4 linked regions of the Macaca mulatta genome follow. The protein of the gene in region 1 interacts with the protein of each later gene in a biochemical or structural test. Links are inferred from orthologs where the notes say so. Each region holds a gene or a part of one and is shown in the gene's direction. Other genes may lie near its edges.

Evidence for each region.
Region 2: the proteins of NUP153 (region 1) and SENP2 form a complex in vitro, tested with the Homo sapiens proteins (2 studies listed by BioGRID). The link is inferred for Macaca mulatta from reciprocal best matches to the Homo sapiens genes NUP153 and SENP2.
Region 3: the proteins of NUP153 (region 1) and NXF1 form a complex in vitro, tested with the Homo sapiens proteins (2 studies listed by BioGRID and IntAct). The link is inferred for Macaca mulatta from reciprocal best matches to the Homo sapiens genes NUP153 and NXF1.
Region 4: the proteins of NUP153 (region 1) and KPNB1 form a complex in vitro, tested with the Homo sapiens proteins (4 studies listed by BioGRID and IntAct, with this or other methods). The link is inferred for Macaca mulatta from reciprocal best matches to the Homo sapiens genes NUP153 and KPNB1.

Annotation. Positions count from the first base shown.
Region 1 is NC_133409.1:165,356,414-165,361,459, forward strand, and holds the start of NUP153 (nuclear pore complex protein Nup153), read left to right. Parts: upstream 1-1,688; 5' UTR 1,689-1,862; coding exon 1,863-1,973; intron 1,974-5,046. UniProt on the Homo sapiens protein: Component of the nuclear pore complex (NPC), a complex required for the trafficking across the nuclear envelope. Functions as a scaffolding element in the nuclear phase of the NPC essential for normal nucleocytoplasmic transport of proteins and mRNAs.
Region 2 is NC_133407.1:97,734,328-97,739,486, forward strand, and holds the start of SENP2 (sentrin-specific protease 2), read left to right. Parts: upstream 1-1,628; 5' UTR 1,629-1,685; coding exon 1,686-1,945; intron 1,946-4,956; exon of another isoform or gene 4,957-5,159. UniProt on the Homo sapiens protein: Protease that catalyzes two essential functions in the SUMO pathway.
Region 3 is NC_133419.1:11,250,349-11,255,326, forward strand, and holds the start of NXF1 (nuclear RNA export factor 1), read left to right. Parts: upstream 1-1,431; 5' UTR 1,432-1,517; coding exon 1,518-1,545; intron 1,546-2,888; coding exon 2,889-3,075; exon of another isoform or gene 3,076-3,106; intron 3,107-3,260; exon of another isoform or gene 3,261-3,295; coding exon 3,296-3,449; intron 3,450-4,978.
Region 4 is NC_133421.1:62,381,159-62,386,323, reverse strand, and holds the start of KPNB1 (importin subunit beta-1), read left to right. Parts: upstream 1-1,413; 5' UTR 1,414-1,753; coding exon 1,754-1,793; intron 1,794-1,894; coding exon 1,895-1,953; intron 1,954-2,211; exon of another isoform or gene 2,212-2,874; intron 2,875-4,195; coding exon 4,196-4,378; intron 4,379-5,165.

The DNA of each region.
Region 1 (5,046 bases):
GCTCACACCGGTAATCCCAGCACTTTGGGAGGCCAAGGTGGGTGGATCACTTGAGGTCAGCAGTTCAAGACCAGCCTGGCCAACATGGCGAAACTCCATCTCTACTAAAAATACACAAATTAGCTGGGCGTGGTGGTGCACACCTGTAGTCCTAGCTGTTTAGGTAGCCGAGGCAGGAGAATCACTTGAACCTGGGAGGCAGAGGTTGCAGTGGGCCAAGGTTGCACCACCGCATTCCAGCCTGGGCTACAGGGCAAGACTGTCTCTCAAAAAAAAAAAGAAAGAAAGAAAAAATAAGCTTTATAGTAAGTCTAAGATTTTTCACAATAGATTTTTCCTCCCTAATCATTTGGCTATTTGTCTTTAACTCTTACAGAAAAGTTGGGTTATAGTCCTGGCTTTGATTACCCATCTCAGTGTCATTGATTGTGCCACCTAAATTTCTCTGGACCTCTTGTCTGGTTGGTTGAATGAGAGGGTTGGACTATGTGATCACCAGGGCCTTTCTAATCGTCAACTCCTAGAATATATATTTTGTGGATTCAGTCTTTGAGTCTAGTTCACTTACTCAGTTTCCTAAATACAATGCCTTCTATTTGGAGCAAATACGGTATACTTTTATTAGTAAGGATGTATCTATCACTTACCTCTAATGTTAGCTGACTGTATGGGTTAAAATTGTAATCATTCATTGCATTTTTCGCCTATTAGTAAATATACATGCTCTCCATAGATGATCACGTCTGCCTCTCACAACAGCTTTATAAAACTCCCATTTTATGGAGGAGGAAGCTAAGGCTCAGACGGTTTTGATTCATCCAAGGTCAAATAGGTTGGGTGGCGGAACCAGAATTCCAGCCCCGTGTGTCTGGCAACAAAGCCTTTATATGTTTAAATAAACATTAATGAAGTCGTATATATTTTCTAATTCTAAGGATCATGGACATTGTTTTTCAACCACAGATTTTTTTCCTCCTTCTTAAATCATTAGCTCTTTGATTTTACTATCTGCTTACTTCCTGCCCACTTAACCAACCGACAGGGAGAAGGAGAGTGGGAAGAAGTTACTGTTTTTATGTTAAGTGCCTTTTCAGAGTCTAATTTACAACCAAGAACGGCAAAAGTACCCCTTGGCTTTGTGCCTCTGCGGCGCTCCGGGGATCTCCTTCCCCGTCCCTCTCCCTTTCCGAGAATCCGCGTTCCGTTGTTGAACTACGTTTCCCAGCGTGCCGCGCGGCCGAGAGAGTGGACTCCATCAGTCCTTCCTCTTTGCCTACCAGCTCGTCGTAGCATGATGATGCAAATGCGTCGGGCGCCTGTGAGTGACGACATTCTGGCTCGCGACCGCGGCAGCCGCCTTAGCCGCGGTAATAGGCGCAACGGCGGCGGAGGCTGCAGGGACGACGACGACGGCGGGGCGGGCGCTGTGCGCACAGGGGAGGGGTAGGCGGGCGGCGCCAGCGGCTTCAACTGCGGCAGCTACGGCTAGGGCGACGGAAGAATCCCCACCAGTCGGCGGTCGAGTTAGGCCTCAGCACCGCCGGGAGCTGTTAGTGCTGTCCTCTGCGGGAGATCTCCATAGAGACCGTGACATACACAGAGGCGGGGGTCCGCAGAGGCGGCGGGACCGGAGCCTCCTCGGCCTCTGCGGCCGCCACCCCCTTCCCCGCTGCCAGCACTCACCCTCTCTCCGCTCCTGCTCGCAACCTCGCGGTTCCTGGGGTGCTTGTGCCCACTGTGTGGACAGCTCGGGCGGACTTTTGGGCCGGGGCCGGGCGGCGGGGGGGGCGCTCTAAGGCCTCCGCCTCTGCCTCTCCCGCCCCCTTACCCGCCCCGGAGCGGGAAGCGGCGGAGGCTCCGCCATGGCCTCGGGAGCCGGAGGAGTCGGAGGGGGCGGTGGCGGCAAGATCCGGACGCGGCGTTGCCACCAGGGGCCAATTAAGCCTTACCAGCAGGGGCGACAACAGCATCAGGTATGGGACCCCGACGCCGCGGTGGCCTGGCGGGTGGGGAAACTCGGCTGGAGGGGACGGGCGGTTCGAGGCCCCGGCGCCCCACGTGGAGCAGACAGGAGGGCCTGAGGAAAGGCCCGAGTGAGGCTTCGGGGGAGCTCAGGCCGTTGGGGGTGGCGACGGGAAGTGGGCTGAGACAGGTCCAGCCTTGCGGCGCACACGTGTGGTTTGGGCCGCCTTTCCCCCAACCCTCTGGGTCAGGGGTTTTCCCAGGCAGGCTCTGGGCGGGAAAAGAAATTGTAGGCCCAGGATGCGCGCGTTTCTTTCTTTTTTGGCGGGGATTTGGAGTTTGAGGGTATTACTCACGTCCTCTCGAGGGAGAAAGGAAAAGTTGTGGTTGATTGCCCTTGTTGTTTTCTGGTGTCCCTCCTTTAGTGTGTGTGTGTGGGGAGTGGGCTGCCCCGAGGAATCTTAACTCTGGGGCAGACGGGGAGTTGTGGGGGGCGCTGTTACATGGAAAGTGGAATAACTTAGTCTCAGCCTATGAATTAATTCTCGGTTTCCCCTGCCGGTGTTCCTCCTCGTCTTGAGAGCATTGGCTTAGGTTTTCTTAACCGGGTTATAGTTAACCGTGGCACTGGGGCATTTTGAAAGTCCCTCTCCACCCTTACGTCTTTTCTCTGCTGCGCGACTCCCCCCCACCCCCGCTTTTATTTTGGAGGCTGGAATTGGCCATTCTCCACAGTTGACCAGGACTCCAGCTCTGATCTCATACACAAAATATTTTAATATTATGAGGCGTATTCTAGAAGTTTAGTTACTTTTGACGCTCCAGGAATGTTGGTGATCTTATAGTTTAGCCAGTGTATGAATTCGTGGATGTTTAAAATTATAAAAAAAGATTATCGTAATTGTAAATGAGGTAGTTGATTCTGAGAAAATTCCATTTTTAAAATAATTGGTTGTTAGAAGGATTGAATAGGAAAATGTTAACTTATTTTAATAAAGCCACTTAAAAATTTATCAATGATACTGAGGTGGGAAGTGTGTGTTTTAAATTTGTTGAAAAACAAAAGTGTAGCAAAAGGATCTGATAACTTGTTGCCTACTGTTAAAGGTAGACTTCCTAGATTACTTTATTCTGGATGCTAATAAATATTACACACTTTCACATGGTTGATGTTGTTAAATTGTGTCATTATCAACAGATTTGTAAAAGTATGGGTCGGGCGCCTTGGCTCACGCCTGCAATCCCAGCACTTAAGGAGGCCAAGGCGGGGGGATCACGAGGTCAGGAGATGGAGACTATCCTGGCTAACACGGTGAAACCCCGTCTGTACTAAAAATATAAAAAAATTAGCCGGGCGTGGTGGCGGGCGCCTGTAGTCCCAGCTACTCGGGAGGCTGAGGCAGGAGAGTAGCGTGAACCCTGGAGGCGGAGCTTGCAGTGAGCCGAGATCGCGCCACTGCACTCCAGCCTGGGCGACAGAGCCAGACTCCGTCTGGGGCGGGGCGGGGGGGAAGGTAAAGATTTGAGGACTTTTTTTTTTTAAGTTTTCTTAAATGTTTTTTATTTTGAGGGAAATGTTTGAGTAGTGAAAATCGTGGCTCAGGTATTTTAAGTCGTTCTCTACTGATGGTTAGGTTTGGCATTGTTATTACTTCTACCAATTTTCCCCGAGATATATATGTAAAGTACTTAGTTTTCAAATTTGTGACGAACAGGGGTATTTGCAAGCAGATTTAAGATTAGAATTCAGGTCACAAGCCTGGCCATTTAACCTAATCCTTCTATAGAATGGAAGTTAGACATGCATGCTTTCTTTTCTCCTATGAATGCCTTTGAGTGCTTAGATTTTCTTGTATGACATGTATAGAAAAATGACGTGTTTTAAATATAGGTCATTGGATGGTCTGGATAGAGGTTAGAAGGGAATTAATATTTTCCAAATGTCTGAAGTTATCACAGCTTATTTTGAAATGTACTTAGATAAAATAAAAATCTAATTTTGGGGAGACGATGCCTTAACAGCATAATACCTATGATCCAAGGTGTCTTAGAGTTGATATGGCTTCAGGCTGTGTAGTTTTGTTTTAAATCTTGATAGTTTATCATTGCCCCTTATCTAAAATACTTTTGCTTCTTGCTCTGGCTATTTAATTAAAAAAGAAAACATATTTTAGCTTTTGAATTGGGAATTAAAGGTATTTAGGGGTTTCTTGATCAACACTGTAGGTGCTCTTTAATATTGTCAGAAACTACCACTACCCAAGAAAAGTATTCAGGTACATTCAAAAGAATACTCTATTTTTTTTTTTTAATCTTAAAAATAAGGGCTTTCTTTAGTCCTTATTGAGACTTTGGTGAACATAGGGTCTACTCACTTGCTGTCTACTATCCTAGACTGTGAACTGGATGTTTTGCAGCAGCTGCTGAGTCATCATGAAGCAAGCTTCATGACATGGCATGTTTTATACTCATGTTATTTGATTAAGTGTCCAAGGGTTTCTGAGCAAAAATTAAGCTTTTGGTAGTATAGCGGAAAGCTGAAGTAAGAAACAGTGAGAGGTCTGGTGCTCTTACTTGATGGATGTTTGCCAGTGCCTGTCAGGGCAACTTGCTAGTACGGTCACCCAGTACCTGTGACTTCTGCATGTGTTCATTTGACTTGTAATTTCCTGTTTTGACTTCTGGATTTAGCTCTCCTGGGAAATGCTATAAGTTTACCACTTTCCCTCTTAAGCTCTGATTTTTTTTTTTTTGAGATGGAGTCTCGTTGTGTGGCCCAGGCTGGAGTGCAGTGGTGCAATCTTGGCTCACTGCAACCTCCGCCTCATGAGTTCACGCCATTCTCCTGCCTCAGCCTCCCAAGTAGTTGGGATTACAGGCATGCGCCACCACACCTGGCTAATTTTTGTATTTTTAGAGACCAGTTTTCGCCATGTTGGTGAAGCTGGTCTCAAACTCCTGACCTCAGGTGATCCGCCCACCTTAGCTTCCCAAAAGTGCTGGTATTACAGGCATGAGCCACTGTGCTGGGCCCAACTTCTGATCTTTAAAATGTCATCTTGCATGAAGTCGTGCAGACAAATT
Region 2 (5,159 bases), on another chromosome or scaffold:
TGGTGAAACTCCGTCTCTACAAAAAATACAAAATTAGCCGGATGTGGTGGCAGGCACCTGTAATAGCACCACTGCCCAGCCTGGGCAACAGACGGAGACTCTGTCTCAAAAAAAAAAAAAAAAAAAAAAGGAAGGACTGTAGTTCTGATAGGTTTGGAAAGAGGAATGATACAGACCAGGCAAGTTAAGATTTATTAGATATGAAAAGGAAGGAGAGGCAAGAGAAATGTTAAGCATCAGCTAGCTGTGCTGGGCACTGACTAGGCCCTTCGTCTATATAAACACTTTTCCTTTTCTTCCTTTTCTTTTCTTTCTTTTCCTTTTTTTTTTTTTTTTTTTTTTGAGAGGGAGTCTTGCTCTGACACCCAGGCTGGAGTGCAGTGGCACGATCTCGGCTCACTGCAACCTCCGTCTCCCGGGTTCAAGTGATTCTCCTGCCTCAGCCTCCCGAGTAGCTGGGACTATAGGCGCACGTCACCACGCCTGGCTAATTTTTGTATTTTTTTAGTAGAGATGGGGTTTCACCATATTGGCCAGCCTGGTCTCAAACTACTGACCTCATGATCCACCCTCCTCAGTGTCCCAAAGTGCTGGGATTACAGGTGTGAGCCACAATGCCCATCATCTTTTCTTTTCTTTTCTTTTTTTTTTTTTTTTTTTTGAGACAGTCTCCCTCTGTCGCCCAGTCTGGAGTGTAGTGGTATGATCTCGGCTCACTGCAATATCAGCCTCCCGGGTACAAGCGATTCTCATGCCTCAGCCTTCTGAGTAGGCAGGATTACAGGCACCCACCACCACGCCCGGCTAAATTTTTGTATTTTTAGTAGAGACGGAGCTTCACCATGTTGCTCAGGCTGGTCTGGAACTCCTGACCTCAAGTGATCTGCCCACCTTAGCCTCCCAAACTGCTGGGATTACAGGCCTGAGTCACTGCGCCTGGCTCACAAACATATTTAACTATCCATAGATCTGAGAGGCAGGTTTTATTAACTCCATTTTATAGATCAGGACGCAGGCTTAGGTAAGGTGTGGCGCTATGTCTCCATAGGAGGTGGGCTGGGCCATTTGCAGTCAATGTTGGCCAGTTTTATGATGAAATTTATGACACAAAAGGGGTGTATTCACCTTTGGTATAGTATGGCCCAGGTTATTATTGCACAGATTGAATAAGATCAGTCTTCGTGTGTTGTCGTGTTGCACTGGAGGGCTATCAAGTGTGACCCCAATATATTTTTTTCTTTTCCTTTTTCTTTTTTTGAGACTATAAATCTCACTCTGTCACTTAGTATTAGGAGGACACGTTTTTCTTAAGTACCAGAAGAGTTGGTACCTAGAAAGAAATTACTCTTCAGAGTGGTGAATTATGTTGGATTTTAGGCACATTAGGCCTAAGCCAACACGACCTCCTCTAGGCGCCCTTACCCCTTCCCACAGATGGCCTAGAATTCTTTTCTGTCCAGGGGTCAGGAAAAACAAAGTTGAGAAGAAATTCGTTAACGTTCTTTGAATGCTTTAAAAGGGGAAATTTGCAAGACTAAAGAATGGATTGGAGGGGAGGTAGGTTTGGAGGAAGAAGGGGGTGGGGCCCTGAAAAGGCTTCAAGGAGCTGCTCTCAGCTGGAAGGGGATAAGCATCTTCTTGGAGAACTGTGGCATCTGGTTGGAACACCTACAAAAGCTTAAGCAATGAGGTTGTGCCCCTCTTGCAGTACAAAGCTGAAAATTATCCAAGCCAAGGGCAGATATCTCAATGTCCTTGTTACTCCATATGGCCTTGGGATTCTCCTATGGCCTTCCAGTAAAGAGCTGCTGGGTCCTGGCAAGGCTGTGGCAGTGGTGGGGTTGGGGTTAAGGATAATCCCACTTGGCCAGTGGCTGGACAGTCACCCATGTCTCTACTGTGGACCACAGGACAGCGAAGGCACCAATCGGCAGACAAGTCCCAGGTGGGAGCGAGTATAAGGATGTGTCTCCTTTTCTTCCTTCTAGAGGGTAACTGAGAGGATATGGAGGGAGCATGCATGGTGGGAGGCTGAGGATTGCCACGTTCGTTTCTTGAGTTATTGTTTGCTGTTGGGGCCCTGGGATTCTGATTGAGATCTGTAATTCTGAAGCCTTCTCACTCTTCCTGGCAGATGGCCTGTGTTTCAGTATTGAGTTTGTAAGGGTGCTATTTATGAGGCAGGAAAAGGAAAAAAAAAATGTGTTGTTGTGTTGCACCTCAGGGCTATCAAGTGTGACCCCAATATATTTTTTTCTTTTTCTTTTCTTTTTTTTTTTTGAGATTATAAATCTCACTCTGTCACTTAGGCTGGAGTGCAGTGGTGAAATCACAGCTCACTGCAGCCTTGACCTCCCACCTCAGTCTCTCAAGTAGCTGGGACTACAGGCACATGCCACCACTCTTGGCTAATTAAAAATAAAATTTTTTTAAAGACAGGGTCTCCCTGTGTTGCCCAGGCTGGTCTCAAACTCCCTGGCTCAAGCGATCATTCGGCCTGGACCTCCCGAAGTGCTGGGATTACAGGCATGAGTCACCACACCCAGCCTACCACAATATTTCTTAAATCTCAGTGGCCAGACCTGGAATAGGTTGCTATTCAAAAGCAGCTTGTAGTTTTTGTTTGTTTGTTGTTTGTTTTGTTTTGTTTTGTTTTGTTTGAGACAGTCTCACTCTGTTGCCAGGCTGGAGTGCAGTGGTGTGATCTCGGCTCACCGCAACCTCTGCCTCCGGGTTCAAGCAATTCTCCTGCCTCAGCCTCCAGAGTAGCTGGGATTACAGGCACGCGCCACCACGCCCAGTTAATTTTTAGTGGAGACGGGGTTTCACCATGTTGGCCAGGATGGTCTCGATCTCTTGACCTTGTGATCTGCCTGCCTCAGCCTCCCAAAGTGCTGGCATTACAGGTGTGAGCCACCGTGCCCGGCAGCAGCTTGTAGTTTTCTGATTTATGTGTTTTTTTTTTTTTAACTTGGAAAAAAATCGTTCTCTTAGGACGTATGATTTGTGTTTAAATGAAGACTGCTCTTTTATTTGGGAGAATCCTCTCCCAGTACTTGAGCGGGCTTCTTGGTTTGGCAAAGGCAAAGCCCAACACTCATAGTGAGTGGAAGGGACAGACGTAACTGAACTGCTCTGCACAATAATGCCAATGGTTGTCTTTTGTTAATAGGAGTCCTGACTCTGATTACATTTACGGGGAGTCCAGCCTGAAATATGTCGGGATAGAGGTAGAGGGAAAAGTCCCTTCTGTTGACAGCTTGCCAAAGGTGTTAAGAGTAAAGGGATGGCCTTGAGGTGAAGAGAATTCCTTTGCGAGACAGGCCAGGGACTATAGATGCTGCATAATCTAATAGCCACTTCTAAGTCTTCTCAGCTTTGTAATGCCCCAAACTTTCAGCAACAGCCTGGTTGGTGTTTGCTATGCTTAGGGGAATAAGGGAGGGGGCTGTGTCCACACTTAAGATTTGCTTCCATCCTCTAGGATATGACCCCAGCCCCCAGGCCAGAGTGGTGGTAGCTGCAGGTGTGTGGCTGGTGATTCTGAAGCTCTAGGTGGTGGCTTGCAGCAGAATTCTGGAATTTTTTTTTTTTTTTTTTGAGACAGAGTCTTGCTCTGTTGCCTAGGCTAGAGTGCAGTGATGTGATCTCCGCTCACTGCAACCTCCACCTCCCAGGTTCAAGCAATTCTCCTGTCTCAGCCTTACAAGTAGCTGGGATTACAGGAGTGTACCACCATGTCTGGCTAATTTTTGTATTTTTCTTTTTTAGTAGAGATGGGGGGTCTCACCATGTTGGCCAGGCTGGTCTTGAACTCCTGACCTCAAGTGATCCGCCTGCCTTGGCGTCCCAAAATGCTGGGATTACAGGCATGAGCCCACCACACCCGGCCTGGAATGCTGTCTATTGAGGAAAGGAAGAGGCTGAACTGGGGAATGCCAGGGTTGAAGTTCAAGCAAGTGTAAAACTCTGGCCTTAACTGAATCACGAGTAGGAAACAAGTTAGTCAGGAATGGATTTGTGCGGCATGAAAACCTTTGAGGATTCTCAGGATTGTTTGGAAGAGGGGACTGAATTTTCTGTCACTAAGTAGGGTGGGATTTGTTTTCAGTTGGTAATTTTTTGATGGGGTGCGTCAGGGTCCCACTCTGTCACCCTGGCTGGAGTGCAGTGGCATGATCACGAGTCAGTGCCGCCTCAACCTCCTGGGCTCAAGCAATCGTCTCACCTCAGCCTACCAAGTAGCTGGGACTACAGGTGCATGCCACCACACCCGGCTAATTTTTGTATTTTTTGTAAAGACGGGGTTTTACTATGTTGCACAGACTGGTCTCAAACTCCTAGGCTCAAGCGATCTGCCCACCTCAGCATCCCAAAGTGCTGGGATTAAGGGCAGGAGCCACCGCGCCCGGCCTATAGTTGACAATTAACTAGAAATGTGACGTTGGAATTATAGAGGGAGGGTAACGAGACTCATTACTAGCGCAGGGTAGGAGACATTAGTGGGCCGCAGGTTTCATCCTTAAATTTCTGTGAAGCCTTTCTTGAGGACATCTGTCCTTTCCTTCTCGCCCTCAGTGTGTGGTTTTCCTTTCTCTGGCTCCCACTGCACTCTGCACACACCTTTATCACAGTAACCACTTACAGTGTATTATAACTTGTAATTATCTATGTACACGTCTCCAAGTAGACTGACCTCAAGGGCAAGGGACTGGCGCTGGTACTCAGACCCCGGGTTCAAGTTCCAGCTGCATCTCTAGCTAGTTTTGTGATCTTAGGCAAATAACTTAATCGCTCTATGACTCAATTTCCTTGACTTATAAAATTGGCATAAGACTGTCATATGCCGTTGCTGGGCATATTAAGGTTACAATGCATGAAAAGTACGAGACAAAAGGTAAGTGCAAAATAAAGGGCGCCTAAAACGGTATTTGTGTGTTAATTAACCTGAGCTACCTTTACGTGTGCACTCAGCAAACACTGAGCACCTATTCTCCTCTGGGACCCTGGAACACCTCCTCCGGAGTGGAGCAGCCTCACGTGAGGCCTGTGGGCCTTGTCCCACGGGCCGGCTCGGGATTGGCTCAGCCGAAGAGAAAACCCTGCAGACAGCTCTTTCGATCTCGTCAGCGATTGGGCCGGGACCGTCCCACAATTAC
Region 3 (4,978 bases), on another chromosome or scaffold:
TGGGAGCGTCGAAGGGCCTAGGCAGCGAGTGGAGTGAGCCCACTGCCCAGTACCAGAACTGAAAGGGTTGGGCTAATGGCTGTGCCAGGTATCACTGCTGAGGCAGGCTATTTTGGGCTCTGACACACAGCTGCCTCTAGACAGGGGAGAACCAAGTGTTGCAACACTTGATTAGCATGGAAACTTCCTTTCACACAGAAGCAGGATCCCAGAGGGGGTCCCTGATTGGTGGCAGCTTCCAAGACCATCTCAAACAGTGTTTGGACCTGTTTCATCTGTATCCTCCAACTATTTGGCCGTAATTCTTCCTTGAGCTAAGCAAGGCAGAAGCTCTGCCTGCTGCCAGGAGTGGAAGGTGAAGAATTTGTTCCCAACTCCAGTTGAGGCTTTTGATTCCCTCAAAGCACTTCACCAAATCAAAGCCAGTCACAGAGAATGGAGGAAACACCTGCCCAAAATACCCACCGTCCAGAGAGATTAATGTGCTTTGTTCTTCCTGACCAAGACTCGCAACCACATTCTGAGGACGCTCCAGTGCCCCTGTCTCATACATTCCAAAGGAAGCTGAAGCTATAGAGACAACAATCAATCAGGGGCTGATGGTGGTGCTTTTGGGGGTCTAGGAGAGCCCAAGGCCCTGATATTTTAAAATGTCCTCCTCCTCGGCATCTCCAGCAAGTTGCCACTGCTGGTGAGCTTCACTGTCTGCCCCGTTGACACGATGGGTTTCTAACAGGGGACGCCATTGATGGAAGGTCTGTGAAGACAATGCTCGGCAAACCCCTGACAGATGTCGTCTCATTTGACTCAGCAACTCAGGGTGGGGTGGGGGAAATTCACAGAATAGAAATTCATTTATTTCACAAATACATGTTGAATTTTTACTATGTGCCAGGCATAGTACCTGCCGAGTCAAGCCCTCGAGGGAAAAAAAGCCTTTAGTCAACGTTCGAGCTCACATTCTAATTCTCAACTTCGTGATTTGTTAATCCATCTTATAGGCGAAGAAAGCGAGGCATAGACAAGGAGCCGAGCTGACACACTGGCTAGATGCGGGTAGGGGTCTGAGCCATCACTCCCACCCGGAGGCGCGGTCTCCATTCCTCGGAAGCCCTTGGTACGGCCCCGTTCCCCGCTGAGTTCTGGGCTGCAGCGGCAGCACTCTGCTCTAGCACTAACTCAAGCTGCCAGGGCAGCGTCAGCGGACAGATGAAAACATGCGGGGACCTGCTGGCTACCAGCCGGGGTTCCGCAAGCTCAGGTCTTGGGCGGGGCGCGGAGGGTCAGGCCCCGCCCCTCGCACGACGGCCTTAAGTGTGCGCACGCGCAGGGGGTCGCGCTTTCTCCGGGCGGCGACACCGCCTCCAGCCTGGGACGTCAGCGGCGCGCGACGTGCTTTGCTATATAAATGCGGTGGCGCCCGGCGTAGGGACACTTCGGTCCTGAGTGCTTGGGCGTTCGGTCGTTTGCCGGCGTAGCGGCCAGCGCTTGAGCCCGCCCTTGCTCTTCGCTGTGGCATGGCGGACGAGGGGAAGTCGTACAGCGGTCAGTGCTGGTCCTCGGGTCGGGAACCGGCTATCTGGGGCGCGGGTGGGCGGCGCCGGCCTAGGCCTCAGCCTCCGGGGCGTGAGGCCGCCAGGGGCCCGACGTCCGCGGGGAGCGGCGCGCGGGGGGTCGGGGGCACTCGAGGTGGATTACCGAGTTGTTGACTCCTGGATTCCTCCTGGAATCCTGGTGTTGGGGGACCTGCGGCTCGGAGCGGGTGGCTCGGGGGTAGGGGGACGGGATTCCTTTGAACTTTGTGGGTGGTTGATGCCTGTCAGTTCGGTTTGGCGGCCTGACTCTTCCTTTAATGTGAGTTAGTGCCCTACTCATGGGCTGCCCTGGTGCCCTATTTTTTACTGCGTCCAGTCGGTCTTGAACCCTCGGGCCTGGGCTTTGGCTTAATATTCGAGACTTACACATCAACTGGATGTTCCAGTCTGAACACTACACTGGGTGTTAGTTCTTTGTAGTAGTTAGGAGTGCATGGTGGAGGTTGAAACCGTGAATTTAAAACTCTCCTCTTCCACCCCTTTAAAGTGGAATAACAACAGTATTTCTTAAGAGTTGGGGGGGAAGTAGGGGGGAAAATGAGATCATTCCTATCAAGTGCCTGAAGCATAGTGGCCGGTACTGGAGAACAGTTCTCAATGAATGTTAGCTGCGCCTTCTGTGTTCTTTTTTCCTAGGGTCATTTGTTGAGATTCATTGTTTACAGAGTGCTCGGTATTAGGCAGATCTCTTTTGGGAGTTAGGGACCCTTTTTAAGACGCTAGTCCTGCACAGCATGAATCAGATCATATTCCTGGAGAGCATTCCAGGGTCCCTGGTTAAGCACCCTAGCCTGGCACTACCACTAGAGCCTGAGTCTAGAAATTGTCTCCTGAGTTAAAGGGCATTTCTGGCCAAGGAATCGAAGAGCTCCTCAGAAAACTTCAAAGTGGCAATTTGAGAACAAGGAGAATTTTTAGAGGATCCTTAAACTGATCATATTTGTAACTGGCATCTGTACTGTATAGACAAAGTATTGAGTGGCAGATTTCAGGTGGCTTTCAGAGGTCTGATTTGTGTTCACTTACACTTTGGGGTCTCACATTTATACATTCTGCTTCTAATTCCAGTTTCTACTTCATTTTTCAAAAGCCCTGCACAGATTTCCAATAACTTTTCCTTGATGCTGACCTCCCACAGAGAGAGTTCTTTCCTGTGGACAGGCAGCGGAGTTTGCATGGAGATGGCCTGTGTAGTTAGTATGTATCTCTTCCAGTAGTTCAGAGTAGAAACTATGATTGCCACACCAAGCCGGACCAGTTACTTCTAATTTGTGTTCCTGTTTCTAACTCCAGAACACGATGATGAACGCGTTAATTTCCCTCAAAGAAAGAAAAAAGGCCGGGGTCCCTTCCGGTGGAAATATGGTGAAGGAAACCGTAGGTCTGGAAGAGGCGGTTCTGGTATTCGGTCTTCCCGCCTGGAGGAAGATGATGGAGATGTGGCAATGAGTGATGCCCAGGATGGTCCCCGAGTACGATAGTAAGTGACCAGTTGGTCTGGTTTGAATTTAGTGGCTCATGAGATTATATGGCCCTTTTACTGTCCATGTCATTTTCCTTCCCACCTGTTATAGTGAGAAATGCCAGGACTAGCTTAGCGATTGAACAGTCTTAGTTTAGTCCCGCCAACACAGTGCAGGAAGGTCTTTGAGAAGACTTTCCTAGCATTTGTGGTCATTTTATCCTCTGTTTACCCACAGCAACCCCTATACCACCCGACCTAACCGTCGGGGTGATACTTGGCATGATCGAGATCGCATTCATGTTACTGTGCGGAGAGACAGAGCTCCTCCAGAGAGAGGAGGGGCTGGCACCAGCCAGGATGGGACCTCAAAGAACTGGTTCAAGATTACAGTGAGTACTTTGAGCAAGTAGATGGTACAGTAGAGATCGGAGGCCACGCTCAGAGTAGAGATGTTTAATTTTATTCCACAAAAATTATTCTTTTTTTTTTTTTCGAGACGGAGTCTCGCTCTGTCGCCTAGGCTGGAATGCAGTGGCCGGATCTCAGCTCACTGCAAGCTCCGCCTCCGGGGTTCACGCCATTCTCCTGCCTCAGCCTCCCGAGTAGCTGGGACTACAGGCACCTGCCACCACGCCCGGCTAGTTTTTTTATTTTTTAGTAGAGACGGGGTTTCACCGGGTTAGCCAGGATGGTCTGGATCTCCTGACCTCGTGATCCGCCCGTCTCGGCCTCCCAAAGTGCTGGGATTACAGGCTTGAGCCACCGCGCCCGGCCTTTTTTTTTTTTTTTTTTTAATGGAATCTTGCTCTGTCATCCAGGCTGGAGTGCGGTGGCGTGATCTCGGCTCACTGCATCCTCCGCCTCCTGGGTTCAAGCGATTCTTCTGCCTCAGCCTCCTGAGTAGCTGGGACTACAGACACCCACCACCACGCCCAGCTAATTTTTATATTTTTAGTAGAGACAAGGTTTCACTGTATTGGCCAAGCTGGTCTTGAACTGCTGACTTCGTGATCCGCCCGCCTTGGCCTCCCAAAGTGCTGGGATTATAGGCATGAGCCAGCGCGCCCAGCCCAAAAATTATTCTTGTTAGCTGATTACGCCATAGTCAAGTATCTGTCTCTTCTCCTAGGAATCAGTATCTTCCAACACCTTAGAGCAGGTTCAGAGAAGGGGTGGAAGAGAAATACGAAAACTGTGGTTGTGGAAGGAGTAATTCCTCTGGATGTCTTCATTTGGCTCAGGCTGAGTATGGGGCTTGGAGTCCATGAAGTTCTCTGAGGGACAGGCAAGGTGTAAATAATATCTTGAAACTTTTAGAATAAAAAAAATTGATTTTTTTTTTTTTTTTTTTGAGACGGAGTCTCGCTCTGTCGCCCAGGCTGGAGTGCAGTGGCGCAATCTCGGCTCACTGCAAGCTCCGCCTCCCGGGTTCACGCCATTCTCTGGCCTCAGCCTCCTGAGTAGCTGGGACTACAGGCGCCCGCCACTGCGCCCGGCTAATTTTTTCTATTTTTAGTAGAGACAGGGTTTCACCATGGTCTCAATCTGCTGACCTTGTGATCCGCCCGCCTCGGCCTTCCAAAGTGCTGGGATTACAGGCGTGAGCCACCGCGCCCGGCCGATTTTTTTTTTTGGAGGGATTATAAGCGTAAGTGGGCTGGGTACAGTGGCGCATGCCTGTAATGCCAGCAGTTTGAGAGGCCGAGGTGGAGGATCACTTGAGGCTGGGAGTTCAAGACCAGTCTGGGAAATACAGCAAGACCCCTTCTCTACAGGAAATTTTAAAATTAGCCAGACATGGTGGTGCATGCCTGTAGTCCTGGCTACTCCAGAAGACTGAGACAGGAGGATCGCTTGAGCCCAAGAGATGAAGGCTGCAGTGAGTTATGATCGCACCACTGCACTCTAGCCTGAGTGA
Region 4 (5,165 bases), on another chromosome or scaffold:
TACTGTATGCACATTTTTTTCTTTTCTTTGAGACGGAGCGCAATATCGGCTCACTGCAACCTCTGCCTCCAGGGTTCAAGAGATCGTCCTGCCTCGGCCTCAGGAGTAGCTGGGACTATAGGCATGCGCCACCACGCCGGGCTATTTTTTTGTATTTTAGTAGAGACGGGGTTTCACCATGTTGGCCAGGATGGTCTCCGACTCGTGATCCGCCCCGCTCGGCCTCCCAAAGTGCTGGGATTACAGGCATCAGCCACCGCATCCGGCCCACATTTTCTTTATATGCATTTTGCTAAGAAAAGGCATTCATGAGTTTCTTCAGGAGTTCAGAACTAAAACAGGTCAAGAACCACGATCCTTTATGCCTGTACACACATTCTTTCTGGTTCGAGGTTGAGCCTTTACAGGGTGAAGCATTTCCATTCTGTCAAGGATGGGGTGTCTAAGTGTAGGATTCCCTTAGCTCACCCCTAAGCAAGTCAGACTTAGTACAGGTCTCAAGCCCTATATAAGCAGGCCTAGGGGACTCCTTGGAGAGAAAGCTGCTTGTAGGGACAACGGCAGTCAGGAGAGCTTGAGCTTATCAAGCCACTAACCAGCTGTACGACCTTGGACAAGTTCCATACCCTCTAGGCTCCTGAACCCATTCCTTACCAAGCCACTAACCGGCTGTGTGACTTTGGGCAAGTTCCATACCCTCTCTGGGCTTCAGTTTCCACATCTACACATTTCAAGTGGAGCCACATGGCCTTACGGATCCGTCCCAGCCAAGAGCAGGGTACCAAGCCGACCTAGCCATTAAAGCAGCTTCCTGCGGGCGCGGCGCAGGACTTCAACGGTCCCCCCTCCCCCGCTCACGCCCGCGAAAGCCTCGCTCAACACGCCCCTCGGAGCGACGGCGCTTACCCAACCGCAGCCCCAGCGGTCGAACCCAGCTCCGCCTCTTCCCGGGGGCGTCCCATCGTGCCCCGCGCCGGGCTCCGAGGGCAGCCGGGCGCCTCCCGCCTTCCCGCGCCCCGACCCCGAACTCCTCTCCCCAGTTCTCCCAGGCACCCTATCCTATCAACGCCCACTATCCCAGCCAATCGCGCAGGCTCCGAGTCGTGCCTTCGGTCCACCCTCCTCGGCGCTCAGCCGGTCTGAGCTCAAGGCCTTTACCAAGCCCAACCCAATCAGCGGCGGGCTCTCTCCGGCCCCATCCCAATCTCCCTCCCCTCGGCCAATTAGGGCGCTCCATTCCCCTGCCCGCCCAGCCACCCGGGCCTTGAAACCAGCAGGCGAATGGGCGAAAGGCGGCCTTTCGACGCTGAGCGCCTGGCCAATTGGGGATTCCGCGTGGCCAGAACAGCGGCCAATCGCCGTGGAGCGCGGCGCCGCCGCGGCGAGGTCCGGCCCGAATATCCCTCCGCCTTCCTCCCGCCCTCGCTCCCTCCCTGCGTGCCGCCTCTCACTCACAGCTTCTCTTCCTTCTTTCTCCCTCCGCCTCCCGAGCACCAGCGCGCTCTGAGCTGCCCCCGGGGTCCCTCCCCCGCTGCCAGCAGCCCATTCGGAGGGAGGAAGTAAGAGAAGAAGAGACTAAGGGGAGCTGGAGCGACTACCCAGAAAGAGCCGGTGAATGGGCTTGTGGTGACCCCCGCCCCCCACCCCACCCTCCCTTCCCACCCGACCCCCAACCCCCATCCCCAGTTCGAGCCGCCGCCCGAAAGGCCGGGCCGTCGTCTTAGGAGGAGTCGCCGCCGCCGCCACCTCCGCCATGGAGCTGATCACCATCCTCGAGAAGACCGTGTCTCCCGGTAGGACGCAGGAGCCGGGGGTCGGGCTGAGGTGATTGGGGTGGGGGAGGGGAGGCCCGGCCCCTCTGACCCCGCTCCGTCTCCCACTTTCCTCCCCCCAGATCGGCTGGAGCTGGAAGCGGCGCAGAAGTTCCTGGAGCGTGCGGCCGTGGAGAACCTGGTGCGTGCTACCCCGCCGCGCCCATCCCGCCGCGTCCCCATCCCCTGCGTGCGGGGCCTTCCCGCCCTCCGGGAGGCCCAGGCCTCGGGAACCTACCCCGCCCCATCCCGTCCCCCTCCCCCCCAACCCGGTCCAACCTAACCCCGCCATCGGGAAGCCGGTGGGTGTGTCCCGCCCCGGGCCCTGCGACTGGCCAATGGCGGGGCGCGCCGGGCTGCCTGTCGCCCAATCATTGCGCGGCCTGAGGGCGGCGGTGCAGCGGGAGGGAGAAAGAGGGAGGGAAGGGAAGTTAGGTTGCGCGGCGCTGCGTGTTCAGCAGAGGTGGGGGTGGGGGAGTCAGGCCTAGGGGCCATGTGGAAGCTCTGGGCCCGGGTGCCCTCCCTGTCTGACCCCGGCCGGCTTATCCTTCCTGTCCCGTGGCCCCTGTGGCTCTCCCCACCTATTTCCTAGAGCTCTGCCCTTTCCTCGCTACCTTGGTGTGTGCTCATGGCCAGGCCTGGCACCCGACTGCCTCTTAACCCATTTCCACTAATATTTTTCCCTCTTCTGCCCGGTTATTCCTCTCGGGGTATTTTCTTTTTCTTCCTTTTTTTTTTTTTTCCTTTCCTTCTGACCTGGATGAATAGAAACCTAATCACTAGGGATCTGCACCCAGACAACAGTCTGAGGCTCATCTTTGAGATCGGGCCTGTTTCCTGATGAAATCACAGAGGAAAGTTACTCGTTTTTCATATTTTAAAATTTAAGGGGTCCGGAGAAAATGAAGCTAAGTCCGCTAGAGACTGGTCCTTTGTATAAAAATGTAGGATGGATTGGTTGAAACAGCCTAGATGCCAGTTAAGTTTCTCTTTGGTGTCCATCTCCTATTGGGAGATGGGGTCAGAGGGAAGGATTGGATGATGCTTGACATCTTTGAGAAAGGTAATAGGAAATAAGTCTGAATAACATTGTAACCATATGTGTTTCTTTGTGTTATATAGGCAAAATGTCAACATCAACAAAGTGACAAGGCTTATTTTATACAGGCTGCCTTTGAATGATTTTTTTTTTGTTCTTCATATGTGCCAATTTTTACAACTAACCTGTTTATCCTTTCCTAGAATAGATTTTTCCACTAGTATAGGCTGATAATTCCATTTAGGGTATTATTCCTGTTTCTGCTTTTGCTAATTTTGCAAGAAGCTTTTTATCTTATTCCTAACATTCTTAACATTCTTTAGTGGTACATAATTAATAAAACTTTTAAGAATTATCTTCTGCTGTGATTGCAGAACTTGTTAGCAGTAAGAAAAATGTATCTGCTTTTGGCTTTTCCTGCTAACTTTGCTGTTTGGGCACGGTTTTTTTGCTGGAGAGAGAGGTGTGTGTGTTAAATTTTTAAACAAAGGGAGTAGTTTTTGAGGCCTGTGGATTACAAAAGGTTACAAAAGAACATGCTTTTCAGGGATCCACTGTATTCCTCAACTAAAGTCCAAATGTATAGGAGCAAGTAATTGTTGATTATTAGATACAAAGTTATTTTTCTTGAACAGCTTGCCTGAAGATTTTTTTCTTTCACTTTTTCCCTATTTCTAAATATCTTACCAATTTTCCTTGTAAATCTGCTTTTTTCGTTGTTCCCTTTTTGCTGAGTGCCCACAAATAAAACGGAGGATGAGGCTCCTAAGTTTGTTTAGGCTTATCTATATTTCCCTCTCTCATAAAAGATCACCTCCTTCCATGGGATGAAAAGCTACCCTGCTGCTGCCATGAGATGGAAAGTTGGATCATTCTTTTGGGACCAAGGTTTTTGAAATTTAGATAAACAGTTTTATTTTCTACCCGCATCGTAACAGCCATTCATTCAAGTACCAGACATTATTAAGAATTCTTGGGACACCTCGGTATACACAGAAGACTAACTACTACCATACTCTAAAACCTTGCAATTCAGGGAGTATAACGTGACAATTTGGGTACTAGGAATGATTTTGATAGGAAAATCTGCAATTCCTCATTAAGTGCTAGGCTCCATGAGAAAGGTGGAAGACTTCCTGTTATATACTAAGTAACATTTTTATAGAAGTCTTGTAGTAGGTATTTTGTGGTTTCCTGAGATGCTTATGATATACCAAAAAAAAATTAGACATTAGTTCCCCCCCCCACCTCACCCCTCCTCCGGTGGTTCAGTGCTCCATAAATTATTCTCAGTTGTGGAAATTCCCAAGATAATTTTATTTACAAATTTATCTTCCCTTAACAGCCCACTTTCCTTGTGGAACTGTCCAGAGTGCTGGCAAATCCAGGAAATAGTCAGGTTGCCAGAGTTGCAGCTGGTCTACAAATCAAGAACTCTTTGACATCTAAAGATCCAGATATCAAGGCACAATATCAGCAGAGGTGGCTTGCTATTGATGCTAATGCTCGACGAGAAGTCAAGAACTATGTGAGTAACACTCATCTGTTTGGTTATATTACCTAGAGAACAAGAAATTGCTTTCTCAGATCTTTTGCTATTTGCATGGGATAGAGCTGACAGTGTGATAGGTTTCTGGGACTTGAACTTCACCTAAAGATAAAAATTGTCTTTGTCTTAAATCTTTCTCAACACAGCTTGTCCATTCCCATTGATGGATTGGAATTCTTTTTAGATGATTGAGGTAGGCTGCAGCAGCTTGGGAAACTTTAATTGTGTGTCATAATTTGTAAAAATCTGTTTGACAAATGGGAGTAGTGTATAAATTGGTGCTCTATACCCACATCACTTAGGGAATTTGTTAATACGTATTTCCCAGCTCTCCAGAAATTCCGATTTGGTACTTCTGGAGTACAGCTCAGGCACTTTTTTGTTTTTTTTTGGAGGCGGAGTCTTGCTCTGTTGCCCAGGCTGGAGTGCAATGGCATGATCTTGGCTCACTGCAACCTCTGCCTCCCGGGTTCAAGAAGTTATCTGCCTCAGCCTCCCAAGTAGCTGGGATTACAGGCACCCGTCACCACGCCCAGCTAATTTTTGTATTTTTAGTAGAGACGGGGGTTCACCATCTTGGCTAGAGTGGTCTTGAACTCCTGACCTCATGATCCATCTGCCTCGGCCTCCCAAAGTGCTGGGATTACAGGCGTGAGCCACTGCACCTGGCCAAGGGATGTTTTTTAAACTGTCTCCCCAAGTGATTATCCAGTCAACCAGCACCTGGCTCTTGTTGAACTTCTGCTGTTTAAATCTCAATCTTTGG